4 linked regions of the Stegostoma tigrinum genome follow. The protein of the gene in region 4 interacts with the protein of the main gene of each other region in a pairwise test. Links are inferred from orthologs where the notes say so. Each region holds a gene or a part of one and is shown on either strand. Other genes may lie near its edges. The genes, in order: fosl2, gcm2, zinc finger protein 512B and fhl3a.

Region 1 (7,452 bases), on a different chromosome or scaffold from region 4:
CTCCAATTTCTATATTCAATGCACCGACCAATAAAGACAAACATACCAAATACCTTTTTCACTATATTTTTCTACCTGCAGCTCCCACTTTCAAACAGCAATGAACCTGCACTCCAAGGCCCCTTTGTTCAGCAACACCCCAGGATCCTACCATTAAATGTGTAAGTCCTGCCCTGATTTGCCTTTCCAAAATGCAGCCCCTCATATTTATCTAAATTAAACTCCATCTGCCACACCCTGGCCCATGGGCCCAGCTGATCAAGATCCCCCAGAGTATTTGAGGAACTACATTAACAACCAATTTTGTATCATCAGTCAAGTTCACAGTGTGATCCACATGCACACACTGAAAACTACATACATTAGTACACAGGGTCCTGTTATTGACAGGAAGATTGTTCCAGTGGTTTAACCTAGTGACAATGAAGGTATATCAATATATTTCAAAGAGATAATAGGAACTGCAGATGCTGAACAATCCGAGATAACAAGGTGTGGAGCATGATGAACACAGCAGGCCAAGCAGCATCTTAGGAGCAGGAAAGCCAACATTTTCTGATGAAGGGTCTAGGCCTGAAATGTCAGCTCCTAAGATGCTGCTTGGCCTGCTGTGTTCATCCAGCTCCACACCTTGTTATCTCAATATGTTTTGATGTCAGTTTGGTGTATGGCTTGGGCCTTCCAAATGGTGCTGACCCCATGTGTCTGTTGCCATTGTCCTTTTACATGGTAGAGTCACAGGTTTGGAAGGTGCTGTCCGAGGAATCTCAATGAGTTATTGCAGAAATGATGCACATTGTCAGCAATATACACAATGTTAAAGGGAACACTGCAGGGAATAGCTAGGGTGACAAGAAGTGTTTTTTTTTTCTCCCAGGCTGATGTTAAGCTACTTGAGAATAGTAGAAAGGAGTCCAAGTAAATGTAAAGTATTTTATCACACTCTTGACTTTTGCTTTATTGATGATGGAATAGGTGATGGAAAGTCAGAAAATGAGTTACTTGCCACAGAATTCCATTTTCTAACCTGCCTTTGTAGCCACAGTATTTATATAGTTGGTCAATGGAAGCCCCCAGGATGTTGATAGCAGTGGATTCAGCAATGGTAATGCTACTGAAAGTCAAGAGAAGATTTAAGATATTACATCCTCCCTTGAAGAGGATGGTTACTGCCTGGCACTTGTGTGATACAAGTACTACTTGCTATTTATCAATGTGATCTGAGCCTCACTGATATGAACTGCTTCAGTGTCTGAGGAGTTGTGATTGGTACTGAGTATCATGCAATTAATGGGGAAATCCTATGTGTAAGGGAAGTCATTGATGAAGCAGATTAAGGTGGTTGAGCCTTGGATTCTACCCTGAGGAGCTCCTGCGGAGACACCCTGGAGTTGAGATGACCGATGTCCAACAACCACAAGCATCTTTCTATGTTAACAAAATGTGAAGCTGGATGAACACCGCAGGCCAAGCAGCATCTTAGGACCACAAATGCTGACCTTTCAGGCCTAGACCCGATGAAGGGTCTAGGCCCGAAACGTCAGCTTTTGTGCTCCTGAGATGCTGCTTGCCCTGCTGTGTTCATCCAGCTTCACACTTTGTTATCTTGGATTCTCCAGCATCTGCAGTTCCCATTATCTCTCATCAGCATTTTTCTATGTGCCAGGTGTGACTCCAACCAGTGGAAACATTCCACCATTTCTCTCCCATATATATACTCATCTTGTAGCTGTACTGGAACACCTTGGTTGGTGGCAGGAGTTCGTGTGGTCCAAGGCTTCAGTACAGCTACTGGAATGTTGTCCCAGCCCATCACAATATCCAACACAGAAACAGTCCGTTTAACTGAATGCCATGTCAGCCAGATGAGAGTCCTCCAGTTAACATGGTTACACAAACTAGGATTATTTTCCTTGAAATTTATAAGGCTAATGAGTGATTGTACAATGAGCAGGCTGGGCAGATGAAGAGAAGCTGCTAACTGGAGAGTTTAGCGTTGGGGGCATAGTCAAAAAAACATGAAGGACAACCCTTTTAGGACGGAGATAGTAGGAACTGCCGATACTGGAGAATCTGAGATTACAAGGTGTGGAGCTGGATGAACACAGCAGGCCGAGCAGCAGCAGAGGAGCAGGAAGGCTGACGTTTCGGGTCTGACCTGAAATGTCAGCTTTCCTGCTCCTCTGATGCTGCCTGGCCTGCTGTATTCATCCAGCTCTACACCTTGTTATCCCTTTTAGGACGGAAAGTGAGAAGCACAATAATACAGAAGGGGCAAGAACTGTTTTCCATAAGTAGTAACTAATGCCTGATAAGTTGTCAATTTTAAATCTAAGACGTTAGTTTCTCAAAGATGTGGATATTTTCCCCGATCAGAGGTGTTACTACGTACCTCGGGAGCAGGCAGGGACTTGAACCCAGATCTACCTTGTTCAGAGGCAGTGACTTTATCACGGCGCCACATGGCATACACCTCTTTCCACTCCCCCAACCCCGCCGGCCAAAATGAGAGGGTATAGGACGGAGATAACAAGGTGTAGAGCTGGATGAACACAGCAGGCCAAGCAGCATCAGAGGTGCCGGAAAGCTGACGTTTGGGCTCTGGACCCTTCTTCGGAAATGAGTCGAGCTGGAATTCAGTAGCACTACCCCTCCCCCGATTCCTACTTCCTCCCTCAGGCTTCCCCTTAAATGCAACGAAACGGGGCAGCTGCCCGAACTGTTCTGCATGACCCATTCGCATGTCTTCAAATAGTACTGTTACAGAAGCCGTGCCACTACTGGAAAACGGGCAGACAGTATCCTTTACATTTCCTCCGACTAAAACTAGTCTTTAAAAAAAAACCCAATATCTAACTCATCATCTCCTAACTGCCCCCCTGCCCCCGCCTCCATAGGAATAAGGTCACTCTGCTTCAGGCCCATGAATGCAAGAGTTAGAGACATTTCGGGCAGGTTTTGCATCAACACAAGGTTTAGAAATAGTTCAGCTCTGGCGCAGGGTTGCGTCTTTTTTAAGAAATGGAAAATATCGCTCACTATATTTTAACCTTTAGCACCAAGAAATGGTAAAAATAAATGTGGGTTTCCAACACATGAGAGCCTTTGCATGATTTTTTCCACATGGAAACAGGCCAGGGAGTGTGAACCGCCCCCTTCTCCCCACCATCCTGTACAGTACGTGCAGTGTGTCACTTCGAGATAACAATGCGTGGAGCTGGATGAACGCCGCCGGCCAAGCAGCATCTCAGGAGCAGGAAAGCTTCCTGCCCGGTGCAGCGATAACTGTTTACACTGTGGGGCGAAACGATCACGTTTGGGCTAAACTCTTTTGGACTCGTGTGTGTTTGTCTGCGTGTTGGGGGGGCGCTATCCTAGTGGACTGGAAGGTGATGCCGCCAGATACACAACTTCGAACTAAATTTGCATAGAACCCAGTAGACAAAACGCATTTCACTTCGCTTCCCTATTGCATACTCAATCTGATACTTGTGACCGTTTTATTCCAGTAAAAGACTCTGAAACACACTCGGGATTTGGAAAATTGAATGAAGCCGTCAGAAATCCTTTAAATAAAAAAAGTATCTTCAAATTTCTGTGGCGACGAGGCATGTTTTGTGGGAGAGAAAGCGTCTTGGTGGCTCCCAGCTTGTGTGTATGTCTAGCGACCCTTTCCCCTCGCTTGTGGGCGCGATATCTATCAGAACCGCGCGAAGGTGTAAGCTTCTGCCGTGGGCACACGATTTCCTGTCTCCTCTTTCCCTCGATCTCTGGACGTGGATCCGGCAACGCTAAGAGGGAGGAGCCAGCGACAGCTACAATGGACAGGGACGGGCGGTGGGGTCTTTGACTTTTGCGGGGAGGGGAGGGGAAGGTAAAATATTTGGAGAGGGGGAAGTAGGCGGTGCAAGGCAGCTAAATCATTGTGGGCAGGAACGCGCCCTTGAGGCTTTATTCTCAGAGAGAAGTGGGGGGGCGGCGGGTAGGTGTGTGAGTGTGTGGAGGGGCGATAGAATCTCTGTCCAACAACACGAAAAGGGAATCCCTCCACACAGACGTCACGTTAACCGAGGAAACACACACCTCGCATCATTTGACGCAAATATCCATTTTTAGGCAACGCGCTACGTCAATGGACGCTACCACCAGCCAAATCTTACTCATAGAGAGAGAGAGAGATACAGACCTCACACAAGATCCTTATGTCACAACTGTTGGTTTACAAATAAGTTCCTTTAAACAATAAAAAAAATTCTATGGACGGGCATATGAAAACAAAAGGTCAAAGTGGAAATTAAGCTTCGAGGTGCAGTGGGGAGGGGAGGCTGTGAATTGCTGAATGTCACAGGGAGGGTGGTAGTGTGGAAGAAGCTATCTCTGGGCTCGCTCCCTCCCTCCCAGAGAGTCTGAGAGAGGGCTGGGCGGAACCAGGCAGTTTTGACGTGAATCCTGAGCCGCGGGAGTGCTGGAAATAAAAAGAGCAGAGTTTAATACCAGAACACTGACTCATCAACGCTCGGGCGAGGAGAAGGCAGCAAACGCGGAGACTAATAGAGTGAGGGGAGGGAGGATTGGTGAGGAGAGGAGGTGGGGCGGTGCAAAGGCGAAAAAAAATTAGTCACTGCGGGGAAAAAAAAGCGATCAGACCCGCTAAAGGGGGGGCCGAAAAGTGTACGAAAAGGAAAAAAAAAGTGACTCTTTTTTATAAAATATTAATTAAAGTTTCAACTTAGAAAGAGGAGGGCTGGTGTGGAGAGCGAATCCAGGAAGTTTTATGGATTTTTTTTCTCTGTTGCAGAGAGGAAGACTTGTTTTAACGCGTGGTGAATGACAGTAGCGTGGAAAAACTGAGGAAAAAAGTTTGTCTTTTTTAAAAAAAAACGGACTTGCAAATTTTTTTGTTTGTTTTTGTTTATTTTTGGAATTTTATTTTTGAGACATTTGGTTAAAATATTATCGGAGTGACTGTACCTGGGAGAGATTGGACGGTCGGTCCAAGCTTTAAAAAGTGGGAGAGGAAAAGAAACCCCCCGTCTTCCTGTTTTCCCGGGGGGGTGGGGGGGAGACCATGTACCAGGAGTATCCAGTGAATTACGATTCATCGTCCCGCAGCAGCTTGTCTCCAGCTCACCAGGACAGCGTGTTCAGCAGCTCCGGGAGCGGTGGCAATTTCAACAGCGCTTCTCAGGTAAGGGCTGGGCTGGTTCCTCACGCATACACATTTGAACCCCCCAAAAATAAATTTTATGTACGAATTTTGGGGTTTCCCCCCCCCCACCCACAAAGTTCGCCACCGCACTCAGGTTTAATAATTTTGTATTTTTTCACACTATATTGGAGTTTTCATAACCTGTCGCTGGCCATACCCGGTGATGTCTGGTGTGTATCTGTGTGCAAGAGTCCTCCTTTCGGCCCCCCTCCCGCTTGCCCTGGACTCATGGCTTGTGTGTTGCTTCGTGCTCCCAGTCGGCCGTTGTCTGTCAGAGCTGGCGCTCTGTGTTTACCACACTGTGTCGTGGCGAGGCTTGCTAAAGCGCCTGGCGCTAGTGTGATTCACCAGGTTGTTGGAGCGGAGCGGCGTCAGATGGTCTCCTTTCTCCCGCTGAGTGTCTGCAGGTCATGTTTGACGTGAAGAAGTGACACCTTTGACATTAGTGAGTAGCTTCAGTCACGGGCTAACGCTGGAAGGAATTTTTCACTTTCTCTCTTTAGTTTGTAAATTATAACGCCCCATTCGCTCTCGTCCCCCCCCCCCCTCTGCTCCAACAGTAGCCCTCCCTCCCCAATCCTGTTATTCTTGCTGTTCAGATTTCGTGTGAAACTTGACAAAGGGCAGGGAATGGCATTCAGACGCTATCAGTGTTTCCAATATTAAACATCCTCAACTTGCCTGAAAACCAGCATTTGGTTTTAACCGGGCTAACGCAAAGTTGGTCCAAATGTCGTTAATAGGAAACAACTTGTGAAGGAAGCACCTTCCCAAATATCGGAGTGTCTGCATTTCCATTTAAAAAAAAAATCAAGCCTCTAGTTTATAAGGACTGTAATTAGATTTGAGGGGAAAAGTCCATTTCTTTCCCAGATCAGGGAATTCTAGAGAGCTGTCATTGTAACTCTAGCCCTGATTTCTGGCCGCCCTTATTTGTTTTATGCAATCTTTCTCGCACGCTGTTCCTGGCTCTAAGGTTGATGAAGAAATGATGAAGAAATTGCGCAAGTCAAGAATTGGCTGGAGTTACAAAATCGGTTTCGTAACTGTGTGTGTTTTCAAAAGAAAAGTCTCCGGACTCTTCTGCTGCAGCTCAGCAGCGGAAATCATTACCCAGCCTCAGAGCCAGCACGGTAAAGTGTAACGAAGGGGCTTTCACATGTTATCTTTACCTCGCTCCCCCTGCCCTCCCCTCCTCTTCCCTTTCCTTCCTACGATCCACAAGCCAAAATAAGATTTTTATTCCCCCCCCCTCCACGAAATCTCAATTTCCAAATCTTTTCCGGGTAGCGCTTGGCAGCATTCCTCCTGCTCCTCAGATTTATCCCCGTTCTTAACTGGAATTCCTGTTAATATTTGGTAGCGACTGCCTTCATTTGCAGGGTTGGTGAGGTGGAGAGGCGCTTGGTATGGGGGGGGGGGGCGGGGGAGAGTGGCGCGGTGGTACACTCAGCCCCACCCTTACTTGCCGTTCCTGGGCCTCCCAACTTTGCATCCTGCTCCCTGGACTGAGCTCTGTCAGTTGTGTGTTTAAGTTGTTGACTTAGTGTAAATATGCAGCTATACAGGCAACTTTGTGACCACACCCCACAGCTCCCTCTCCCACCTCCTTCCTTTTTTGTGCACAGTGGGTGTTTTGTTGGCTCTCGCAGCTTGTGGCTTGAAACCATACCGGATTAGAAAATTTCTAGCTTTTATAGCATTTTTTACACATGGAAAATTTCTAGTACCCCAGTGATACATAGTGCACAATCTGTCCATGCTTTATGTCTCCATCTCCCTGGGCTCAAATAGGCGCTATTACGGGGTCCTTGTGGCCAAGGCTAGCTAGGATTTCTTTAAAGTTACATTTCCTTCCAGAATCTCTAACTTTCTGTCTGGATGTTTTGGCCTCATGACCTTGCAATAACAGATTTTGAGCTCACGCCTAAAGGATAATTGATAGGCTTCTATAATACTTGCCAGTTTTCCTCCTTCCAAAGAAATCACAGGAGACCAGGAGGTTGTTCAGCCTATCAGGGTCTGCCCTATCCCCACAGACTAGTGAATGTTTTAAGATGCTTACCCTACTTGCTGTTGAAAGCCACAGTTAAATCTGCCTCCACCACACTCTCAGGCAATGCATTCCAGATCCTAACCACTGGCTGCATTTTTTTTGAAACCAAAAATATTTTCATGTTTCCTTCAGTTCTTTTGCCAAACTCCTTAAGTCAGCACCCTGTGTCCACAGTAGGGAAAAGGAA
Region 2 (6,842 bases), on a different chromosome or scaffold from region 4:
TCATTTTTATAAATGACCTGGATGAGGGCGTAGAAGGATGGGTTAGTAAATTTGCAGATGACACTAAGGTTGGTGGAGTTGTGGATAGTGACGAAGGATTCTGTAGGTTGCAGAGAGACATAGATAAGCTGCAGAGCCCCGCTGAGAGGTGGCAAATGGAGTTTAATGCAGACAAGTATGAGGTGATGCACTTTGGTAGGAGTAACCGGAAGGCAAAGTACAGGGCTAATGGTAAGATTCTTAGCAGTGTATATGAGCAGAGAGATCTCGGTGTCCATGTACACAGATCCTTGAAAGTTGCTACCCAGGTTGACAGGGCTGTTAAGAAGGCGTACAGTGTTTTAGCTTTTATCAATAGAGGGATTGAGTTCCAGAACCAAGAGGTTATGGTGAAGCTGTACAAAACTCTGGTGCGGCCGCACTTGGAGTATTGTGTACAGTTCTGGTCACCGCATTATAAGAAGGATGTGGAAGCTTTGGAAAGGGTGCAGAGGAGATTTACTAGGATGTTGCCTGGTATGGAGGGAAGGTCTTACGAGGAAAGGCTGAGGGACTTGAGGCTGTTTTCATTAGAGAGAAGAAGGTTGAGAAGTGACTTAATTGAAACATAGAAAATAATCAGAGGGTTAAATAGGGTGGATAGGGAGAGCCTTTTTCCTAGGATGGTGAGGGCGATCACGAGGGAGCATAGCTTTAAATTGAGGGGTGAAAGATATAGGACAGATGTCAGTGGTAGTTTCTTTACTCAGAGAGTAGTAAGGCAACGGAACGCTGTGCCTGCAACGGTAGTAGATTCGCCAACTTCAGGTACATTTAAGTCGTCATTGGACAAGCATATGGACGTACATGGAATAGTGTAGGTTAGATGGGCTTGAGATCGGTATGACAGGTCGGCACAACATCGAGGGCCGAAGGGCCTGTACTGCGCTGTAATGTTCTATGTTCTATGTTCTAAAAATAAATACCGCAATTAACCAACTGATGTGACTCAATTCTTTATGCTAAAATTGAAATACAGAACGATTTTATTTCGAAATAATTTTGAAGGCTTTTAATGGAATTCTTAAACCTCCTTTTTCATGTTGCCAGTTACAATTTTGTCGCCACAATTCAGTTCTTCAAACATTTCACGTTCGGTAAAATCTTGATATTTTCCCCCCTATTCGTTTGATACGACATTACTAAGATAGTGGTGTGTTCAATTTGTATTTCTGAGGTATTCACTTCGTTTGTAACTGTGTGGTTTGAAACTGCCTTTACTTAGCTCTTCGGTAACTGCCATAAGTTCTTAAAAGCTCATTGCTGCTTCATTTATCGGCTAATTTGATTGCTCCAGAATTTAAAATACCACAGAATTCCTAACTCTTGAAAGTATGGGGCATCAATCTTTAAGAATTATTAATAATTCTTAATATTCACATCTACCTCAGGTTTGAGCAGGGTGGCAGTTTACTTTATATCAAATTTACATCACTTCCTTGAACATTTCTTTGAAGGAGCTTTTTCTTTGTTTCAAGAAGCCTTCCTGGTTTTGCTATTGTTTTGTCAACTTGATTCGATGCTATTTAACTAATGCGACGAAGAAGAAAAACGGTGTTTTCCAACCTAGTGCACTTCCGAATTAGAGTTAAACAAATGGTTAGATTCCTGAAGAGCTTGGATGTTTGCGGCATTTGGCAAATGGAAATTTAAAAAAAACACTTCCCAATGAAAATATTATCCAAAATACGTTAAGATCGTGTGCTGTGTTCCATTGTGTGGCTAAACTAGGGGAGATCTTATCTTTTAGGAATTTAGTTCCAGTAACGGGGTGGGGTCGGGGAGTGCGTTCATGTACTCACTACTGGTTTAAATTTCTTGGCCAATATTGATTTTATCTTGCGTTCAACTTTGGTTCAATTTGGTGTGAGTACTGGTTGTTATTTTGTTTGGTATCTATTTATTAATAATCAGTATTTTGAGGTAAATAATTATTTATTTTTATGTCAAGTATGCAGATTTCTATGAAGGAAATGCGCGATTAGACCAGTAGAGAGCTCAGATCATGAAATGTTCAGACGTTAGCGCTCTGACTTCCTTTTGCTGGTCAACTTTTTCGTGCTAGTGGGACGTGAGCTGGGGTCGGGGTTGATTAACCTTCGTGACGAATATTTGTATCGATTTCGTTGAATACGATCATTCGATTCAGTTCTAACTGCAGAATATTCAGTGTTTCCTCTCATTCTAACTGGCATATTTTTCTCATATATTTTAAATGTAACTTCAATGTTCCGTTTTTAAAAATAGAGTCGCCGTAGTCCTGCTCTGTCATTGGAAACCACTAGTGGTGATTTGACATGGGTTGGAGAGGAGACTCCTTTGTGGTAACTTCAGCTGGTGTAGGAATGGAACCGACATTGTTGGGGTTAGCATCACTCTACATCACAAACCAGTTGTTCAGCCAACTGACCTAACTGGCCAGGCAGTGCTGTCTAATGGCTAAAGAAATCGTGAATAGACCATGGTTTCATTCTGATATGCAGACTAATTAATAAATGCTCTGCCAGAATCAAGTGTAGGAACAAGTTTGGCTACAACGTCAGACAGGTTTCTGAATCCCAAACTGAAAAATCTACGAGGTTTACACAAAACAATTAGACAACGGGTTTGCCTATTTCTCTGTTTGATTCATTACACTCGGAAAGGTTCCTCTTTAATGAGACAAAGTGAAGCAGTGTTTAGCAATGTTGTTATATAAATAAAGGAAAGGGCAAAATACCCTTTACTTTCAAAATGCACAACGTCGTGCATGAGGAATGTTTTCCACCTCATCTTCGCTTGACCCCGATTGATATTATTTAAATATTCTAATTGTCATGCACCCGATTTTTAAAATACTAGTTTTCAGTTGACAAGCAATTTGCAGAAATTTAATTCACGCTTTTTTAAATCGCAATGTTTGAACTAAAAATCAATATCCAACCTTGTAAAATTTCCAACGAAGGTAAACGTTTAACTGTGGAAATAACCCCATTTCTTGCCTTTCTAGCTTGTATCAAACTGCATCTCGAGTCTTATCCCTCTCACCGAACTCAGATTCACAAGTAACAAAAATACAAGTACTCGATGATTAGGATGCATTGTGTCATCTCCAGTTCAAAATAACCTCCAAAACAACTTGAAACGCCCCAACAATCAGCTACACACCTCGAAGCTCACTTTGATCTATGGTGAAATGAACGGACATTCATTTTCATTGATACTTTCACAGGATCTAAACGTTCGTCTAAAATTCGCCATATGTTCTACACACATCATAACACCTGTGTATTGCCCACATTAGACAGACGGTTTGGTAGGACGTGATCACCTTCGTGCTGATAACGTTTTTCTTCAGTTGTTAAGGAATCGTATGGTATCAGAATTCCAATAAGGCAAGTTTACAAATGTTTATTACAAATGTTTTTACATGGTCATTTCAAGATCTCTGCTGACTTTGTTTTGATGTGGGATCTAACCTTGAATTTGTGGTTAATTCCTGTTCAATTTGCGGCTGATTATGTCTTTGGAGGCTGCTGTATTTGAGACACTGGCAGGCGGGTCATGTTGGACTGAATGTCTACGTGCAGATTAGAACAGGCTATCTTCGTAGGTCACCAACACGGTTCACCTGACATGAAAGCTAGTGCTGGTGTTCAACTCCTATTCAACTGTGTCAAAAAGTGCGTGTATCCTGAATCAGCGCGAGGTTAACCGGGGATGTAGGGAGTGTTCAGAACGTCTTTTAAGGTTTCAGATAAAGAGCCGCAAAGCGGCGCGTTGCACTCCTCGCGGCATCAAATGGGACACAAATGCCTAAGTTGGTTTCCGTGAACACGAGCACTTCCTGTCAAACTTTTTTTTTCATTCCGTGTATGTTTTGCCTCTATTAATTCATACCTCCAGCATCTTTGACGATTCCTTCACTCTGCCGTTTATTTTGCGCAGTACATGAACCGGAGAGCTAGTGGAGTCCTACGCCAGCCTATGTCACCTTGCGTCGTTGAGCGGAGCTGATTCCTGGCCCAGAGACAAGATGTCTAAAGGGGACCAGTACCAAGATGCCGACTGCGTGTGTTCTTACGGGATGAAAATCACCTGGGACATTAATGACCCCAAACTGCCCCAGGTAACTTTTTTGTAAAACATTTGTCTTGTAGGAGAACGCGCTCAAATGTGATATTTCTAGCAGAATGGTAAAAGTTATAGTCAAATGTCGTTCCTCAAACGAATTTTGAAATCCTTGAAGTTGGTCGAGCAGGCTGGAAAGATCAATTTGGAACAGTCTTGCTTATTTTTGTGCTTCTTCCATTTGAAAAAAAAATTGTGCATATTGTATTCATCTCAATGAACATTATTTTAATGTTTTCAATTCAATTTCAAAAGTTAAATTGGAAACATTTTGAAATAAATAATTTATGGGGTAGAGACAGGATCAGAGTCGTTCTGAGGACGACAATATTTTAACCAGACCTGAAACAAAAACAGAAATAGCTGGAGAAACTCAGTAGGTCTGGCAGCATCTGTGGAGCGAAACCAGAGACAATATTTCGGGTCTAATGACCCTTCATTGAAAGGTCCATACCTGTGGATTTCAGCAAATGATTCTGTCCCTGCACCTTAATATTAACGCCCATTTGCTGGTGATTTTAGCTCGTTCCTTTGGAAGTGCTTAATAGTTTAAAATCTAATGTATTTCAAAAGAAAGTCGACAATTTTGGGTTGGATTCGGATGTTCTGAATGGCAACAAATGCAATTTAATAAAATTTGCGATAAATTTTACACATGCAATGCACATGTAAACCAATTTCAATTTGATCGTTTGGATTTACTTTAGAGAGAGATTGCAGATTTATAAGTAAGACATAGATCTAAAATTGATCTAATAATGGTCTAAATTTGGCCTCATAATATGCGTGTGGTATGGGGCCTAGAAAAGGGTCACGTTTGCTTTTCTCATGTAATATTGTTTCTCTGCTGCCTTATACAATTGAAAATAAGTCAATATTTGTGTGTAACTCGCAGGATATAAAGCAGTTTGATACGTTCCAGGAATGGACAGATGGCTATGTACGATATATTTACACTGCAGATGATAAAAATGCGCAAAGGCACCTTAGTGGTTGGGCCATGAGGAACACCAACAACCACAACTGCCAAATCCTGAAAAAGTCCTGTCTCGGAGTAGTGATCTGCGCCAGAAACTGCACCTTACCTAATGGTGGCAAATTACAGCTCAGACCAGCCATCTGTGACAAAGCTCGTCAAAAACAGCAGAGTGAGTAACTCGCAGTCTGGTATTGTATATTGTTGGATTAATACAACTTTATTTATAGGAGACTGCTTGTTTCTAACAGATTGAACCCGATTTGCATCAGGAAAGAGAATGGCTGCCGGTATGTACCTTGTAAATATTCACTCAAAGGTTTTGGGCAGCTGGCAAGGCCATCAAATATTGCCCATTCCCTAATTGCCCAAGAGAAAGCAGTGAGCTCATTTCTTTAACCGCTGCTGTTCTTTTGCTTTAGGACCACCTATATTGCTGTTTGGATGAGAGCTCCAGGATTTTGACAGACAATCATGTAGTTTCAAGCCAGTATGGTCTGTAGCTTGGAAGGGAACTGTGGTGCTCCTGTACATCTGCTGTCTTGCCCTTCTAGATAGTAAAATATTACTCAAATATCCCACTCACCAAAGAACAATTGGGCCTATTTGAAATCAAAACAAAGGTTTGACGGGAGGAGGGAAAGGTAAAACATCAGATAGGGATGGAGATGGGACTGAATCTGCTTATAAAAAACAATTATTTGACAACTCACTGGATGTGCTGCAATACAATCTTCTAAAATATATTAGTATAAAATACGTTATGAAGGAAGCTTGTTTTTTTTTAAGAGTTCTCTTTCTCTGCTCTAAAATCTTAACTTCTCAGCAGGTGGACTTGGAGTGATTTTTGATTTGGTGCTCAGTTTTCTATAGTTTGAGGCATTTCTTCACTTTCCAAAAGTACTTGCTCCATACGTTGGATTACAGATGCCCCCTAAAAGAACCACAGTGAAATTTTTAGATTCTTTCTTCAAAATAAACTAATCAAAGGAAATTTATGTAATTAATATTATCCCCTTTCTGTATGTATTTCTGCATGTAAGTCTCACAAAATGCTGAGTATATTGAAACTTTTCTGGGAATGAGCCAACCTATTCAATCTAATTTTGATTTTGTTTAAATTGTGATCACTACAGAATTAAAGAATGTATTACAGCTCAGAGATATAATTTTCTCAACACAATCTAAACTAAAGCTGCTAATTTGCATGCAATTAAATATTACCATTTTTCAAGCAGGTACCCAATTCCAGCCCTTTATTGTAATTATGTATGATTAAATTAAAACTGTGATCATTCATTACTGTTTCACCAAGCAGTACAATAAATCTGTCACAATATATTATGTTACAATTTTTGATAACTTGGAAGAGCTCTGTCATTTTACACTTAATCTTTTCAGATCCAGTGATCAGAAGCCCTAACTTCTCATGTCTCTTTAAGAACTTGTACCTCGTTGGTGGCACTTAAGCCAGAGACAATCAAAAGTGGTTTGATATTTCTAACATGACTACAGAGGACCAGGAGCCAAATTTCCTGACATCCACAGGAACTTTAAGTAGAACATTTAATATTTCATGATACCATTGTTCTGTTATAAAGTTTTAATCATGTGGAATAGGATGGGTAGCTGATGGATGCACATTGTATTGAAAATCGAACAATTGCGTGTAATTCTTCTGTCAGCAAGTGAGAAACAGGGAATGTACTCTGCAACA
Region 3 (7,694 bases), on a different chromosome or scaffold from region 4:
GTAAATAGGTTCGGTCCAGCTGAAGATGGTTGATGAGTATGGTAAGCGTTTGTGGAGGAGCTGAGAATGTTAGCTCGGGAGGTGGAGAAATTGATGATGCTGGTGGAGGGGAGCTGATGATGTTATGCAGGATTGCAGGAACGTGGATGTTGGGGTGGAGAAACTGTCAAAGAATTTAGGCTGATAGTGAAAAATTACACATTATCTGAACAATATTTGTTAATTGGATACTAACCGTTGATGTGAAAAGTATCTGTAAAAAGTGACAAGCAAAGGGTTTTACTGTGAAATAATGTCAGATTTTATGATGATGTTATAAAACGTCCTACAGTTGGAGATAGCTGTCCTGAGTAACTGTTACTGGTTTTGTTAAGAAAATGTAATAATATTGACTCAATATTTATTTAAACCAAAAAGCATTTAAAATCTTGAAGAATAGTCAGTTAAGAGCACATGCAACTTAATGTGTATAAATTCAACATTTTCAGTGGAGTTTGGAAACATCAGTGTTTTTGTAGTTGATGTTGTGTATACATAATTCCAAAAGTCATTTTACAAAATGCTGTATACTGTTTGTAATTCTGAAGCTCATAGAATAACGTAACAAAGGTCGCTTGGATATAGAATTAGATAAGGGCCAGGAAGCATAGTTTTGTGGTGAATGGTCAATTTTCATGTCTGCAGGCAGGAATACGCTCCAGGGGTCAATATTAGAAACATGTTTGTTTTTGAATATAATTTCACAGGATAATTTCAAAATCTGCAGTTGACATCAAATTCAGAAATTTAGCAGCAAGTGAAGAGAAGAAAAACTGAATTCAGAAGAAAAAACACACTGGTCAAATGGGTAGACAAGGCAAATGTCAGATAAAGAACTACAAATTGGTCTATTTTGGTTACAAGAATAAGAAGCAATATTAAATTATTAAACAATTTTAAAGGTGATGCAGAAATAGAGACATCTTTGAAAGTGACAGAATATGTCAAAGCAGGCTTTTGTTTTTGAAGCTATAGGGAACCTTTGATATTCCTGTTAGAGGAAAAAAAAGAGTAAAAACAAGGAAGGTTTGCCATACATTTTTTAATTTCATTTTAAAGAAAAACATTGGTCAGACCTCAGAGTCTGGTCACCACACTAAGGATGTCAAGGTCTTGGTGAGAAGACTCCAGAAATACATAAGTAATTTACTATAATGGAACAAGCAAGGAGAATTTTCACTTGCGTGGAAAGACTAGAGAAGCTTGTTTTCTCCTTTTGAATAGCAAAAGTTGGCACATTTCACTGAAGTATGCAAATTTATGAATAACTTTGAAGGAGTGAAAAAAGATAAAAATTGTTTAGGGAAGGTTGAACAACTAGAGGACCTAGATATAGGTGACTGTCAAAAGCAAGTATGATGAATTAGTTTATACATAGCAACTTGTTTTGATCTCGAATACATGCCTCAAAATGGTGGAGTAGTTTTACGAGTAGCTTTCTAAAAGGCATTGGCTAAATAAATGTAGGAGGAAAATTATAGGGAAGAGCAGAGGAGAGAGACTATTTTAGATAGCTTTATAAGGGGGTCAGTACTGGCAATAATGGGCTGAATTGCCATTTGTGCTGTATTGTTCTATGATTGTGCAGAACAGTAACTTTGCTTTGAAACATCCCAAGTGCTATGCAAGGCACACATAAATGCCTGTCATTCTCACTTCACAGACACAATGCTGCCTCTCATCAACTCAAAGCTGTCACCACCTGCTTCAACTTCTGTCATGATTATCAACCACAACTTCTGTTCCTACAAACACCAAAGCACCTCTAGCCCTTTAACTCAATATGTCAGTGCCTTCACCTTGTCATTTATCCACCTGCAACAGACTGAGACCCCTCACATTCAGTTTTTTTTTTAATCCTCTCTACTGTTCTAGACTTGATTCATTCTTTAATAATCTTCCTTTTTTGGATAATGAATTGAGATTAATTGTGGGCACCTGTTTGGCAAAGTCACTAATCGCACGACCTTAGAGCATAGATGGCCACTTAGTCTGTGATGCTTGAACCAATCATGCGAAGGTGTTAACGAATTTGATCGCATCGCTCTCCACTCCGTCCGCCACACCACCCGTTCCCGCAACAGTCTGCTACTTAGTCCTCTCCACGTAGATATCGAACGTTGCCTAAAAGTTTCGATCTAACCTGTGTCCATCACGCCATCAGTTGACATATTCCAGATCTGAACAACCCTCTGTGTGGAAGAAGTCTCATCTTTCCTTCAGTTCTCTGGCTGATTGCCAGAGGAATCAGTATCTCCTTCTCCAGTCCAGCGAGACCTTCCATAATTTAATTTTGAACACCTCTATTCAATCCGTGTTTCACCCGAGTGAGCAGGTTTGCCTTTTAACAGCGCTGTTTTCGGGGCACTGGCTTTACAATCTGGACTCTGGCACACCCTCGGAATGAAATCCTGGCCAGACCAAAACAAGACCGCAACTGGAGTGCTTGGCTTTCCCTTCCACCACAGCTCGATGTATACATGTAAAGAACTCCATCCAAGTACAAGACATGAAGGCAAAACCTTATGCCCCATGAGACTCGCATCGAATAGACAGATGCCCATTTGGTGGGATGTTCCAGCACTGATGATGGTGTGGGCCGGGGGGCGTGGGGTGCAAGCTGGGCACGAGCGCGCGCTCCCAAACCACCCACCACCGCGGTCGGCGGGCGCGCGCCAGCCCTCAACATGGAATCCGGGCGTGCACGCGCGCCAGGCAGCGCGCTCCCAGTTCAAAAAAAAGGAGAAAACCCCACAAGAAGTTCTGACGTTCTCCCCCGGGCTCGAACCTCTCACCTTCCTTCATTAACACACAAAACGCCGACTTCCTCCTTCAACTCGCCAGCACACACACACTGTAACGATCGCAAACGCTGCAACATTGTTTGTCCAGCTCGACAGCAAGATGAGCTTGCGGTAGCACTGAGGCAAAATGGCGACATTTTAAAGAAGCAGGCAAACTCAGCTGGCCGCGTAAAAAAGAGGCATAAAAACATTTTGCATCACCTGAAGTTGCCCCGATCGATCGACAATCGCAAGAGTAAAAACAAAGAAAAAGGTGGAAAATACGAGGCGGCGGCCAAAGGGAAGGGAGACTCTCACAAAATCGGGCATCTTACCTTAAAATTTCTGGTTAGATTATTATCTTCAGGGCCTTACAGTAGACTCTATTCCTGGGTCATGCGCGATTCCACTTGTCCTTTGACAGTTGTACAGTGAGGAGGTAAGTTTCAACTCTCGCGTTACTATTTAGTGCTGCACGATTTTCAAGTTCCAGCACAAGCAGCAAATCTGCATTTTCAACGCTGCAAATGTCTGCTTCGTGCCTGCCAAGAACAGACGACAGATTACATACTTGCATCGAATATCATTGCACAAATAGGATCCGCGACCCAAGTCGAAACTACAGAAGAACTGCCTCCACCTCCTTCACAAATGTAACTTCGTGTTTATGTAATACTATCTGCAGCAGTCTTTATTTTGTCCAAACTCGACTAAAACTATTTTTTTCCAAATATAAACAAAAATTTGCTTCAACAACAAGGCCCTTAGTATCTCAAAATATTTTACGAGACGAGATTTGACAACGCCTACCGACAACTCGAGACCAGCCCAATTTATGTCCAAGATAAAAGTAGAAAAATCTCTTCGGGGCATAAAGTGCTTTGTGTTTTCATGTTTAGTCTGAACAACCACTTTTGAAAATCATGTCTTATTTTGAACTAAAAACAAAGGTGAGAGACTTGACAGTAATTTGAAAATTAACGTGCCATATTCGACGTGATAAAGAACCACGAAGTAATATCCGGGCCTGAAAACGGTGCAGTTAACTTTACATCTAGTCAGTTATTAGCATTCTACTTACATTACAGAACAATTGTGTTGAAATCGTCTTGGAATAAGTTAATATATAACTAATGCGTGGTTTATTTTTGTGATCTGTGTAAAATTGTTACTGTCGACATGGGCCAAGTAACATTTATTCGCAAAGGTGGACAGCAATTCAAACAGTGGGGAAACAATTTATAATTCATAACGCGATTTAACAAGGTAAAATGTCTCAGTTTGGGATGCTGAAAATCACGTGGAAAAGGAATTGTGCGAAGTCTTTTTTAAAGTGCATAAAAAGTCAAAAGAACAGCTGAGTTCATTGAGAGGTTTCGTAACTGACAAATCAATATTCAGGACAAAAAAGGGAACAATTCTTACACCGTAAGTTTTTTTTGGGTGTAAGCAAAATCTAAGGGCGTAAGCTACGTATCACTTTGATGGGATGATAGATCGTTCCTATTGCTAGAGCAATTTGCTGCTCACAATACTTTCAAAAGCACGCAGTTGGATGCGGTCAATCGCAAGAGATATATTAGACAAGTGCAGAACGCTTTCACCCTAGACTATCAGCGTAAGATAAGAAGTGTCGACAAACTCAAGGTTTTTTTTCCTTGTTCACCGAGAGTTTGCGTGCTGTTCAGGAGTATGGCAGATGAAACTTTTCATCGCTTACACTTCTCGCTTCAATAGAAGTGAAATTTAAAATTTTAAAATCATTCAGGACGGAAAGTGGATAAATTATCTAGTCACAAAAGAAAAATAAATGTTCGTACTGGAAGCCTGAATCAATAACAATATGTGCTGGAAGTATCAGGTCTGAAGCATCTGTGGAGACGAACATGAGATTTGTCAGAACTGAATGATTGAAGCTCAAATCATCACATAGAAATCAGGCAATACATAAAATGCAATATTAAAACCAAGAAAATGAAGGACCTGTACAAAATAAATGGTGTACATTTGATAAGTTTCCATTACAATAATACAGTATGTGTCAAATTCCAGAACATTGTGCACATTCTACTAGAAAATGTTTGTCTTCAGTTGGTGCATTTGGACAAGAACACAAAGCAAATTGGGTCTCCCAAGTTAAATTTGTACATTTTGATTCAGTATGATTTATTATAGTCATATAGTGAGATACAGTGGAAAGTATTATTTTGTTTGCTAAGCAGACAAATCATAGCTTACGTATGTAATCAGAGTAATAGAACAGGATACAGAATTATAGTGTTATAGCTGCAGAGAAGGTGCGGAGAAAGATCAACTCTAATATATGAGAGGTCTGTTCATAAATCTGATAAAAGTGGGGAAGAAGTTGTTCTTAAATGTGTTGGTATGCATTTTCAAACTTTTATATCTTTTGTCTGATGGTAGAGGGTGGAAGAGACTAAAACAGGGGTGGAATGGGTCTTTCATTATGTTGGCTGCTTTCCCAAGGTAGCATGAAGTGTAGACAGAGAAATTACTCTAATTTCTTGTGGTCTTGGGCAAAACAGTTGCCATACCAAACAGTGATTCATCCAGATAGGATGCTTTCTATGGTGCATCTATAAAAATTGGTAAAAGTCATTGTAGACATGCCAAATGTCCATGGCATTCTGAGGAAGTAAAAGCATTGATGTGCCTTCTCGTCCGTAGCATCAACATGGATGGACCAGAATAGATCATTGGTGACACATACACCAAGAAACTTGAAACTCTCGACCACCTCCACCTCAGCACCATTGATACAGACAGGGGTGCATCCTCCACTCCACTTGCTGAAGTTGATGAACAACTCATATTGCTAACATCCCAAGAGAGAATGTTGTCTTTGCATCATGCCACTAAGCTGGCTGCCCCTTTCGTGTACTCTGATCTGATCTACAGAGGTGGCATCATCAGCAGATTTGTAAGTGAAGTTAGAGGTGAATTTGGCTACACAGTATTTCTATGACAAATCTTGATCCGGTTCATAATGGAAACTGTCCCTGTAAACATTTTGTAAAAACAATACTGTTTTCTCCAGATAACAAAGTGTGGAGCTGGATGAACACAGCAGGCCAAGCAGCATCTTAGGAGCACAAAAGCTGACGTTTCAAGCCTAGACCCTTAATCAGAAAAGGGGGATGGGGAGAAGGTTCTGAAATAAATAGGGAGAGAGGGGGAGGCGGATCGAAGATGGATAGTGGAGAGGATAGGTGGAGAGGAGACAGACAAGTTAAGGGGGGGGGGGGCGAGGATGGAGCCTGTAGAGGTGAGTATCCATCCCCGCCCCTTTAACTTGCCTGTCTCCTCTCCAATTTTGATCTGCCTCCCCCCTCCCTATTTATTTCAAAAGCCTCTCCCCATCCCCCTTTTCTGATGAAGGTTCTAGGCCCGAAACGTCAGCTTTTGTGCTCCTAAGATGCTGCTTGGCCTGCTGTGTTCATCCAGCTCCACACTTTGTTATCGCGATTCTCCAGCATCTGCAGTTCCCGTCATCTGATGCCCTTTTCTCCAGTTTTGCCGATGCAATTACAGCACAAGTTTCCTTGTGTAGGTTCTTTTTATAAATATGATCACAGAACTCTATAAAAGTGTAATACAGATATGGAGTGTAAATTGATGTTACATTTTAATGCATAAAACACTCATGAGAAAAATGTTACACATTGATGACCAGAATCATGTCATACAAACACTGTCGAGGCTTGACATCACTAATGGTCCAATAATGATTATCATTCCATTTTACTTATGAAGCCACAAGGCGGTTATTGTCACATAAATAGGAAAATTGTGGCTTCAATTAGGCTGCTGTATTGAGTCTCCCTTTAAATTCCACAATGAGAGGTTGCTGACATTACCTATCAGACAGCAGACTTTTTGTTGCTACCAAATGTTAGATTCACCTGACTTTGGCAATGAGATGTCCAATAATGCAAGGAGCTCAAAGCCAAGAAACCTAGCAGCTGCTCTCTAACTTAGCTTATCTCCTACTCACTTGGGTGGCCTGCCAATCAGTCCAGTTAGCTTGGGTATCTAAAGCTACCAGATGTTGACAAAACCTGACTCATAGACGAGTAATGTCAAAATAACAAATTAAAATTCAATCAAACCTCCTTTGCACATCAGGAGTCTGAACTCCAAATTCTCCAGGCAGCTGGCAGCAGGCCAAATGCAAACATCAGGTGACTGCAAATTGGTGATGATAAATCTCAGATTAATCAAGTTCTTACTGGCATTGTCCCACAATTTGATGAACACTAAATGAACACTCTTGTTTTTTGAGCCTACAGAGTTTAGTCAATGAGACTAATAAAAATAACACATTGCTCCAATTCAGACATTCAGCCCAAGTTTACAGTGTAGCACATTGTTGCAACAGGACATGGGCAAAATTTTTTCCTTTCTCAAATATTGCTAAAGACATTGCAAAAACAGCTAAAATCATGTCTTCCATTTCCCAGTAATACTATCTTGCAGCTTGATGAGGACTTTAAAAAATCTTTCAAATAATGATTTCTTAACTTTTTTTTATTTTCTTGGAGTATGTATTTTTGATGACACAATGAATGATGTTCACTTTGAGTCATTACAGTTTAGGCTGCAAAAGTCCGGCTGTTTAAGCTCTTGTGTTTTGTTTGTTTTAAAAAATACCTTTATTCATAAAATTTATGGAACAACATCACCAAACTACTTATGTGTGGCATTATGAAAAGTGCAACAAAGTTTGAATAATTTGAGCATATTAAATGCACTGAGTTGTCACAAAAGCAAATAACCACAGGTCATATATAATTAATTGCAGTTATTCTATTCATTTATTCTAATTGTAAAATTTTGTAGAGCAATTGTATC
Region 4 (8,010 bases):
TACAAGAATGGTTTCAGGATTGAGAAACTTTGGTTGGGAGCATAGATGGAAGAAGTTGGGATTGACCTCCTTAGAGAGAAGAAGGTTAAGAGATCCGATTGAAGTTCCCAAAATAATGAACAGACTCGATACAGTAGATAGGAAGAAACTGTTTCGGCTTGTAAAAGGAAGAAAAACAAGGGGCATAGGTTTAAAATGATTTGTAAAAGATTGTTATGCAAATAAAAACACTTCCGCACAGTGAGTAGTTAGCGTCTGGAATATAGCCAGGAAGTGGTGGGGGCAGGTTCAATTGATTCAAAACAGAAATTGCTGGAGAAACTCAGCAGGTCTAAAGGATATTTGGATAGAAATAATGTCCAAAGGGCATAGGAAAAAAGGAGGAAATTGGGAGCAGACAATGGATGCTCATTTTAAGAGCCAGTGCAGACATGATGGGCTGAATGACCTCTTTCCGTGCTGTGACATTTCTGAGATTCTGTGAAGGGTTACTCTGGTGACTTGGGCATAAAGTCTAAGTTGCCAATTGAGAATAATCCTGTCAGAGATACCATCTTGCAGAACAAGGGTTAAAATTAGGCTCTGCTTCTGTTCTAAGGTGGGCATAAGAGATTCCATGGCAACAACCTTGGTGTCCTTGCCACTGTTTCACATCACAAGAAAAACATCAGCCAGTCGTTATTACATTGCTGTTAATGAGGAGTCTTTTAAGTGCAAGTTGGTTGTTTGGCTAAACTTCAAATGTATGTCCATCTGTAAAATACTTTGGGATGACCTGAGATTATAAATAGCGCTATACAAATGTTTGTCTCTCACCTGACAGCTCACGTACAGAGTTGTAAAACTGTCAGATTTAGTTAATTGGTATTCTGAAAATTAGGGTGTAACTTTTGTCAGGCTAGCGAAGGAGCAGATCACCTGAGCATTCCCTCATCATTCAAGGGCAAAACAAGAATAATCTATAGTGCATTATCCATCTCAGGAAGAGTGTTAATGGGGGCCAGTGTAGTTCACCTCAGTGTTTAAAGGTTATAGAGGGAAAAATAATCTTGGTTCTAATACTCATCCACTACAGTCCCGGGTCACATTCCCGACCCGCGGACTAATGTTAATTGACCACTTGCGTATAATGCTGTGGAAAACTAGGGGAAACAGACACTTGTTTGAAAAGTGACACAGCAAGTATACATTTCCAGTCAGAATCTTTGATTACCAAAAATAATTGCCATTTGAAGCCTCTAAATTTACATGGAAATCTATGTATTGCCGAATATGTCAAACGTCTCAAACTATTTTATATATAAATCCCTTTTGGAACTTCAGTGAATATTATTATCTAGATATTAAAACGGTGATTTTTTTAAAAAAATCCTGAATTGTAGTACCGAGCCGTTCAAGCAGTTTAATCCAAACTTGAAATTTGGGGGTGGGGTTTCTTTTCCTGGTGGAATATTGATTGAACTGGTATCAAAAGCCCAAACTGTCAATGCATTTTTTTCGCCCATTCATAGTAAACGTGTGTGTTAACTTGGCGCTGGAGGAAATTATATTTAAACCAGGGTCTACCAGAGACCCCACCGAAATCACACATTTTTCACATTGCTCTGAAACTAGTTACAGTTCGTTTGTACTCTCTACATTTTCCGTGGGAAGGTGACTCCCAGAGTATGTGCTACACTCAAGAGAGAGGTCTGCTTTAAGAAATTAATTATTTCCAAACCACACTGTCTTGCTTTTATTATGGCTCCGTCAATTCCCACATCTTCTCGCCATCCCGATCCACTCAGCAGATCTTTTTCCACTTAAAACTGGAAGTAATTGTGTTCCAATTTGAAAGCTTGAAACGTCAAGCGAAATTGACAAATTCCTCCTTTGCGTCGCAAACGTTTCAGATTGCATGGATAATTCTAGATTGCATCATAGCAGGGCTTCGCCATTCATTAAAATCCACAGATTTACTGAAACGTCTAAACTGCGGAGTTTCTTTGGACCTCAAGCGATTAGCTTTTGACAATGTCTTTGTATCAAATTGCGCCAAACCGCTGAGGAAAAGGGAATGTCCAGGATGAATGCTGGGCTGGTAACCTAATACGAAATAGCAGGATAACGGGAGCGAGGGGGAGAAGCACTTTCAGGACTCGTAAAACTGTTGAAAGTCGATGTATATCGCTTCACTTTCAAAAGAAAAACTCTGCAATTTGCAAAGCGACTCCCCTCTTTAGAACTTGTCTCTGGAGTCCCACAGCTCACATTTACTCTGTAAATGTCAATCAGTGGGTGTCTCAGTAACAGTGGGCGCATGTGCCCTGATTAAGGCAGTTATACTGCAGTTTTCCTCAAACTGTAGCAGTTCAGTTCTGTAGTGTCTGAGTGTTGATGACCTGAGACGCTTAATGGCATTTTGCTTAAAATACGACCAATTGCCCTGAAGCGCCAAAAGGGTAATTGCAGTGGTCAGGAACAGCAAAAAGACAGGCGACCCTTTAAGTGCAGTTGTAAACTGTACATTCCACATAAAGTCGAAGAGAAGCTGCCAACAAAATGTGCAGTTTCTTCTCCGCTTTAATCTACGCATAACGACGGCCTCAATGACTTTACATAGCCAGGGGAACCACACTGTAGCAGGGTATAATCTGCAGGGCAAAGCACATTCAGGGAGCTTTAGAAACACTACCTAAAACACATAACTCCAGGTGGTTTCCTAACAGAGAGTCAGAAGCTGCACGAGCGGCGCTAGTAACAGTAGATTGTCAGATATCAAGAGAGTAAAAAAATTGGACACTTACCAACTGTATTTTCAATGAACTCAGGTCAGTGATCAAAGCACTGCTTTAACATAAATGCTTCAAAGGCACACTGTGCTGAAAAGCTTTGTCTTGCTTTTTCCTGCTTGGGAAGTGGTTAGAGTTCTCCTGACACAGTCTGCAAGAGAAGCAGGCTTGGCTCTGACGGCTCTGGCAGAACAGAGGGAAGATTAGGGGCCCAACAAGTACAGGAAGTGACTCACGGGATCCCGCCCTGAAAACCCTTGTATCCAAGCCAAGGTTATTAGCAAACAACTAACCATCTCTGAGCCTCCTTCCACTGACTGACGCCGCGAGGTGTGACTAAATGGCACCTTGGACCTATCGATCACTACACACTGATAACACCATCAACACCTACTCAATCCGCCCATTATAACAAAGTGATCATATCAAAGAGGCAACTGCTGCAGCCTGGTCCAAGATAAACGAAAGAAAGGTGAATGCTACTTCCTCCTGAAGAGAATCGCAGCTGGAAAGATCTGGTGCCAACCTTCCCGAGAACTAAATTATGTGTTTTATCCCCTGGAACCCTGGTGATTTATTCCTATTCAACACAAAATGCAGTAGCTTTTGTACCTAGGGCACACGTAACCTATTTCAATATGAATGAAGTCCTAATGATGTCACTAATTTACACTATGAACCAGCAGAGGCAACGAGTGCTTCTATACAAGTAAGATGAGTGAAATCTGAAATTCAAACGGAAAATGGTTAGAAATGTACAAGTTTGTCAGGAAGATTGAACAAGACTAAGATCTGGGAGCACATCAGCAAGATCCAGTCAGGATCCCTGCCTGATGAGTCAGAAGCATATCCGGTTTCTTCAGACGCTGACCAACTGGTTGTGCCCTTTCATTTTGTAAAACATTTCAAATATTTAATAACAGTTTACATACTTTACATGGAGTAAAGGAAACACAGATGTAACTGGCAAAAATGAGCTCCAAACCAAACAAGCCCCATTGCATTGATTTAAAATAGAGACGTAGAAATTTGGCCAATTCTAAGCTTGGTGCATTGCCCTGTGCCCAAATGATATAATCCCAAGGCAACCTAAACCCCAGGCATCAGGCTAACAGTGCCAATGAAGATGAAACCGAGCCAGTTCTCCAACATTGCAGTGACCCTCAGGTAAATGATGGCAGATCTGGTTGGGTAAAGAAATGCCAGGATCAATTACTGTTACATGTATCAGAGATAATGGGAACTGCAGATGCTGGAGAATTCCAAGATAATAAAATGTGAGGCTGGATGAACACAGCAGGCCAAGCAGCATCTCAGGAGCACAAAAGCTGACGTTTCGGGCCTGGACCCTTCATCAGAGAGGGGGATGGGGAGAGGGAACTGGAATAAATAGGGAGAGAGGGGGAGGCGGACCGAAGATGGAGAGTAAAGAAGATAGGTGGAGAGAGTATAGGTGGGGAGGTAGGGAGGGGATAGGTCAGTCCAGGGAAGACGGACAGGTCAAGGAGGTGGGATGAGGTTAGTAGGTAGATGGGGGTGCGGCTTGGGGTGGGAGGAAGGGATGGGTGAGAGGAAGAACCGGTTAGGGAGGCAGAGACAGGTTGGACTGGTTTTGGGATGCAGTGGGTGGGGGGGAAGAGCTGGGCTGGTTGTGTGGTGCAGTGGGGGGAGGGGACGAACTGGGCTGGTTTTGGGATGTGGTGGGGGAAGGGGAGATTTTGAAACTGGTGAAGTCCACATTGATACCATTAGGCTGCAGGGTTCCCAGGCGGAATATGAGTTGCTGTTTCTGCAACCTTCGGGTGGCATCATTGTGGCAGTGCAGGAGGCCCATGATGGACATGTCATCTAGAGAATGGGAGGGTGAGTGGAAATGGTTTGCGACTGGGAGGTGCAGTTGTTTGTTGCGAACTGAGCGGAGGTGTTCTGCAAAGCAGTCTCCAAGCCTCCGCTTGGTTTCCCCAATGTAGAGGAAGCCGCACCGGGTACAGTGGATGCAGTATACCACATTGGCAGATGTGCAGGTGAACCTCTGCTTAATGTGGAATGTCATCTTGGGGCCTGGGATAGGGGTGAGGGAGGAGGTGTGGGGGCAAGTGTAGCATTTCCTGCGGTTGCAGGGGAAGGTGCCGGGTGTGGTGGGGTTGGAGGGCAGTGTGGAGCGAACAAGGGAGTCACGGAGAGAGTGGTCTCTCCGGAAAGCAACTGTTACATGTATGTTGGGAGGAGGGAGTGGTTGCTGGGGCATGTTGAGAGGTTAGGTTTTATATTGGTGGAGAGTGCCAAAGGTGAGTGACAAGGAGGCTAGTGTTGGAGGCCGAGGCGAATCTGAAGTGTGCCGAGTGGAAAACTTTCAAAATAAAAGGCGATTGGTGGTGGTGGGAGGGGGGCGTGGGTGGAGCTCTAGGTATAAAGAAAATTAGACTCTGTGTTCAAGCAAATAAATTTGTATAAATAAATTTGGTTGTATGCAGCCCCAGGAGCTGATTTTACTGAATGTAGGCAGAACTGGGCAAAGCAACCTGCTGTGGGAATTTCAAACAGAGTGAGCACCACACCAACCCCCAGCTTGCTTTGAAATTAATTGCCCGTTTCAAGCATATGCCCTGAACACATTTGCCTCACCAATCTGCCTGGAACAGACATGCACACACGTTTCCAGCTGCTAAATTAGAGATTGACTGAGCTAGTTTTGGCTTGGAAAATGGGTATCATATGGTTGAATTCATCAGTCAGTATGCCCAAGATTATGTCACAAATCATAAATCCCACATCAGATGTCGTGTGTTGCTACAAATCAAAACAATCTTAAATATTTAATATTTCTAAGTTGCTTCCTGAAACTGAAAAATACATCCAAAAGTTGCATGATCTTGTGAATTATCAATTTACCTGTTCCAAGCACTCATTTCCTATCTCCTATCCTGGCTGTATTCCACGCCACTAAGTACCTCCCTGGCCCATTTTCCCAAACATTTCTTGATCTGTATAAAAAAACGGAAGAACTGCGGATGCAGGAAGGGGCAGCCAACCTGAAATGTTAATTCTGTTTGTTCCTTCACAGATGCTGCCAGACCTGCTGAGCTTTTCCAGCAAGTTCTGTTTTATTTCTTGATCTGTCCTGGCACTGCTTTCCAAAGAGATTTCCAAACTATTTACATTCCCACCCAGAGTGAGTGTTTCCCAACTGTAGTTATTCATTCTGAGATCTTGATATTCACTAGTCATCCCAATGTGCACTCTTCCTAGTGTGGTGGCTTACTCTTCCACAACAACTGAGGGCCCTCCTTAATGCACACAGTCTCTTTTCACCTATCAAAGAACTTGTACCTTCCTGCCAACACTCAATCTGACCACAGTTCCATCAATAGCTTTCTTCAGAATTCCCAAACCCCAGTACTCGTGTGCAATTGATCTCCAAAACTCTCCCAACTGCCCACACTTCCTGAATCCATCCACCGCCCATCCTCATTGTATCACAACTATTCGTATACACTGTGTCTTCCCTCCTGGTGCATGTAGGTCTTGCCATTTTCCCAATGATTGCCTCTATGAGCCAAGACCCTCCCTCGAGGCAAAGCTGAGCATCCCAGACACCCTGTCTAGTCAGTACTCCATTCACACCAGTGTTCCCTTCGCCGCTGCCCACCCTCAGTCATGTCTCAGCTTGGTGTCTTTCTGGCTGCAGTCTCAAGTCTCTCCACCACCCCCTAGTGGTGTATTGCAATGGTAGCAAGCTGCTAGCCTCAGATTCGCTGACAATTCTGGACACGCTGGATATTTGTGCCAGAGGAGATAATTATTGGAGATATTGGCTGAAATAATTCGATGAAGGCTGCTACCCTGTCATCAAGTCACCCTGTATTTACATGTGCATAGTACATGAGACTGGCCCAACTAGTTCAGAGCCAACTCCTAGAGTGAGTAGAATCCATAATACTCCTGTTTATTTATTTGCTTTCTTTCTTTTTTTTCTCCCCTAAGAACATTAGGTGACCATTTTGCTCTTTTTGACAAACAAAGCACTCATTTTTCTCGTGTCTTCTTTTGTACAAATTGTGCACCTTATATTGTTTGGTTGTGAATTTTTGGAGGACATGCAACAGCCTTTCTACTGACAGAGGATCCAGCAACAGGAACGTCAGGTGAAAACTCTCTCTCATGAAAGGTGTGTTTTCTGCTTGTTTCTTGGTGTCTTGTAGCCCATTCTGTCTGGACAGTACAGAGTGAAAAGGCAAGGGAGTTTACAATGATGAGTTTTCTTCCATTCATAAACTGTACATAGATCAAGTGTGTGTTGATGGTATCCTGTTACCAAGTCACCCCTTACTTACATGCACATAGTACAAGACACTGACCCAGCCTGTTCAAATTCATGTCCTAGAGTGAGTAGAACTCCTGACACTCCTGTTTATATCTGTCAGCCAGGACTCCCTGATTGGCCCAGATTTACAGCCCCAATCAGGGAACACATTCTACAAGACCCACCCAGTTGACTGCATTCCAATTACTACACTGGCTAGGTACTACATTCAGTTGCCTCCCCCTCAACATCCTACTGAATGACAAAGTTTTCCCAACAGGCCTCCAACCAGTGGTCTCAACCCGCATGGATTACATTTAAATTATGCTCAATATTTCCACTTTTGAGAAAGAATTTAAATAAAGGCCACCAATATAAAATAGCCACCAAGACATCTAGAAGAAACCGCAATACCCAAAGAATGGTAAGAATGTGGAACTTGCTACCACATGAGCAGTTGAAACAAATAGCATACTACCGATGGTTTTAAGTGAGAACTACTCAAGCATTTGAGGAAGAAATGTATCATTTACGGCTGTAGATTTAGATGAGGAATTGGAGGAGGCTCAAATTGACTATAAACGTATGGACTATTTGCACCAAATGGCCTCTTTCTGAGCCATATATACTGTGAACTTCCATGTAAATCACATTGTTATGGGGTGTGGTTTCTAGTTATAGCTATTGAGCATGTGCCAAAACAGCTATGTCACAGAGATAATGGGAACTGCAGATACTGGAGAATCCGAGATAACAAAGTGTGGAGCTGGATGAACACAGCAGGCCAAGCAGCATCTTATGAGACACAGAATGTTGGAGAAACTCAGCAGGTCTGGCAGCATCTGTAGAGAGAGAAACAGTTAATGTTTTGAGTCTGGTCTGACACTTCTTCAGAACTATGTCATAAAGATGTTAGATCACAGGTTTGGAACCTGA

The links.
Region 1: the proteins of fhl3a (region 4) and fosl2 interact in binary tests that used the Homo sapiens proteins (3 or more experiments, as listed by UniProt). The two-hybrid records come from large-scale screens. The link is inferred for Stegostoma tigrinum from reciprocal best matches to the Homo sapiens genes FHL3 and FOSL2.
Region 2: the proteins of fhl3a (region 4) and gcm2 interact in binary tests that used the Homo sapiens proteins (3 or more experiments, as listed by UniProt). The link is inferred for Stegostoma tigrinum from reciprocal best matches to the Homo sapiens genes FHL3 and GCM2.
Region 3: the proteins of fhl3a (region 4) and zinc finger protein 512B interact in binary tests that used the Homo sapiens proteins (3 or more experiments, as listed by UniProt). The two-hybrid records come from large-scale screens. The link is inferred for Stegostoma tigrinum from reciprocal best matches to the Homo sapiens genes FHL3 and ZNF512B.

The regions. Positions count from the first base shown.
Region 1 is NC_081357.1:18,018,419-18,025,870, forward strand, and holds the start of fosl2 (fos-related antigen 2), read left to right. Parts: upstream 1-4,446; 5' UTR 4,447-4,574; exon of another isoform or gene 4,575-4,798; 5' UTR 4,799-5,068; coding exon 5,069-5,188; intron 5,189-5,541; exon of another isoform or gene 5,542-5,654; intron 5,655-6,279; exon of another isoform or gene 6,280-6,342; intron 6,343-7,452.
Region 2 is NC_081355.1:41,452,310-41,459,151, reverse strand, and holds the start of gcm2 (chorion-specific transcription factor GCMb), read left to right. Parts: upstream 1-3,826; 5' UTR 3,827-4,054; coding exon 4,055-4,147; intron 4,148-5,044; coding exon 5,045-5,297; intron 5,298-6,842. UniProt on the Homo sapiens protein: Transcription factor that binds specific sequences on gene promoters and activate their transcription. Through the regulation of gene transcription, may play a role in parathyroid gland development.
Region 3 is NC_081372.1:31,173,614-31,181,307, forward strand, and holds the start of zinc finger protein 512B, read right to left. Parts: upstream 3,012-7,694; 5' UTR 2,845-3,011; coding exon 2,835-2,844; exon of another isoform or gene 2,751-2,834; intron 2,643-2,750; exon of another isoform or gene 1,978-2,642; intron 1-1,977. UniProt on the Homo sapiens protein: Involved in transcriptional regulation by repressing gene expression. Associates with the nucleosome remodeling and histone deacetylase (NuRD) complex, which promotes transcriptional repression by histone deacetylation and nucleosome remodeling.
Region 4 is NC_081377.1:18,276,227-18,284,236, forward strand, and holds the start of fhl3a (four and a half LIM domains protein 3), read right to left. Parts: upstream 3,004-8,010; 5' UTR 2,787-3,003; intron 1-2,786. UniProt on the Homo sapiens protein: Recruited by SOX15 to FOXK1 promoters where it acts as a transcriptional coactivator of FOXK1.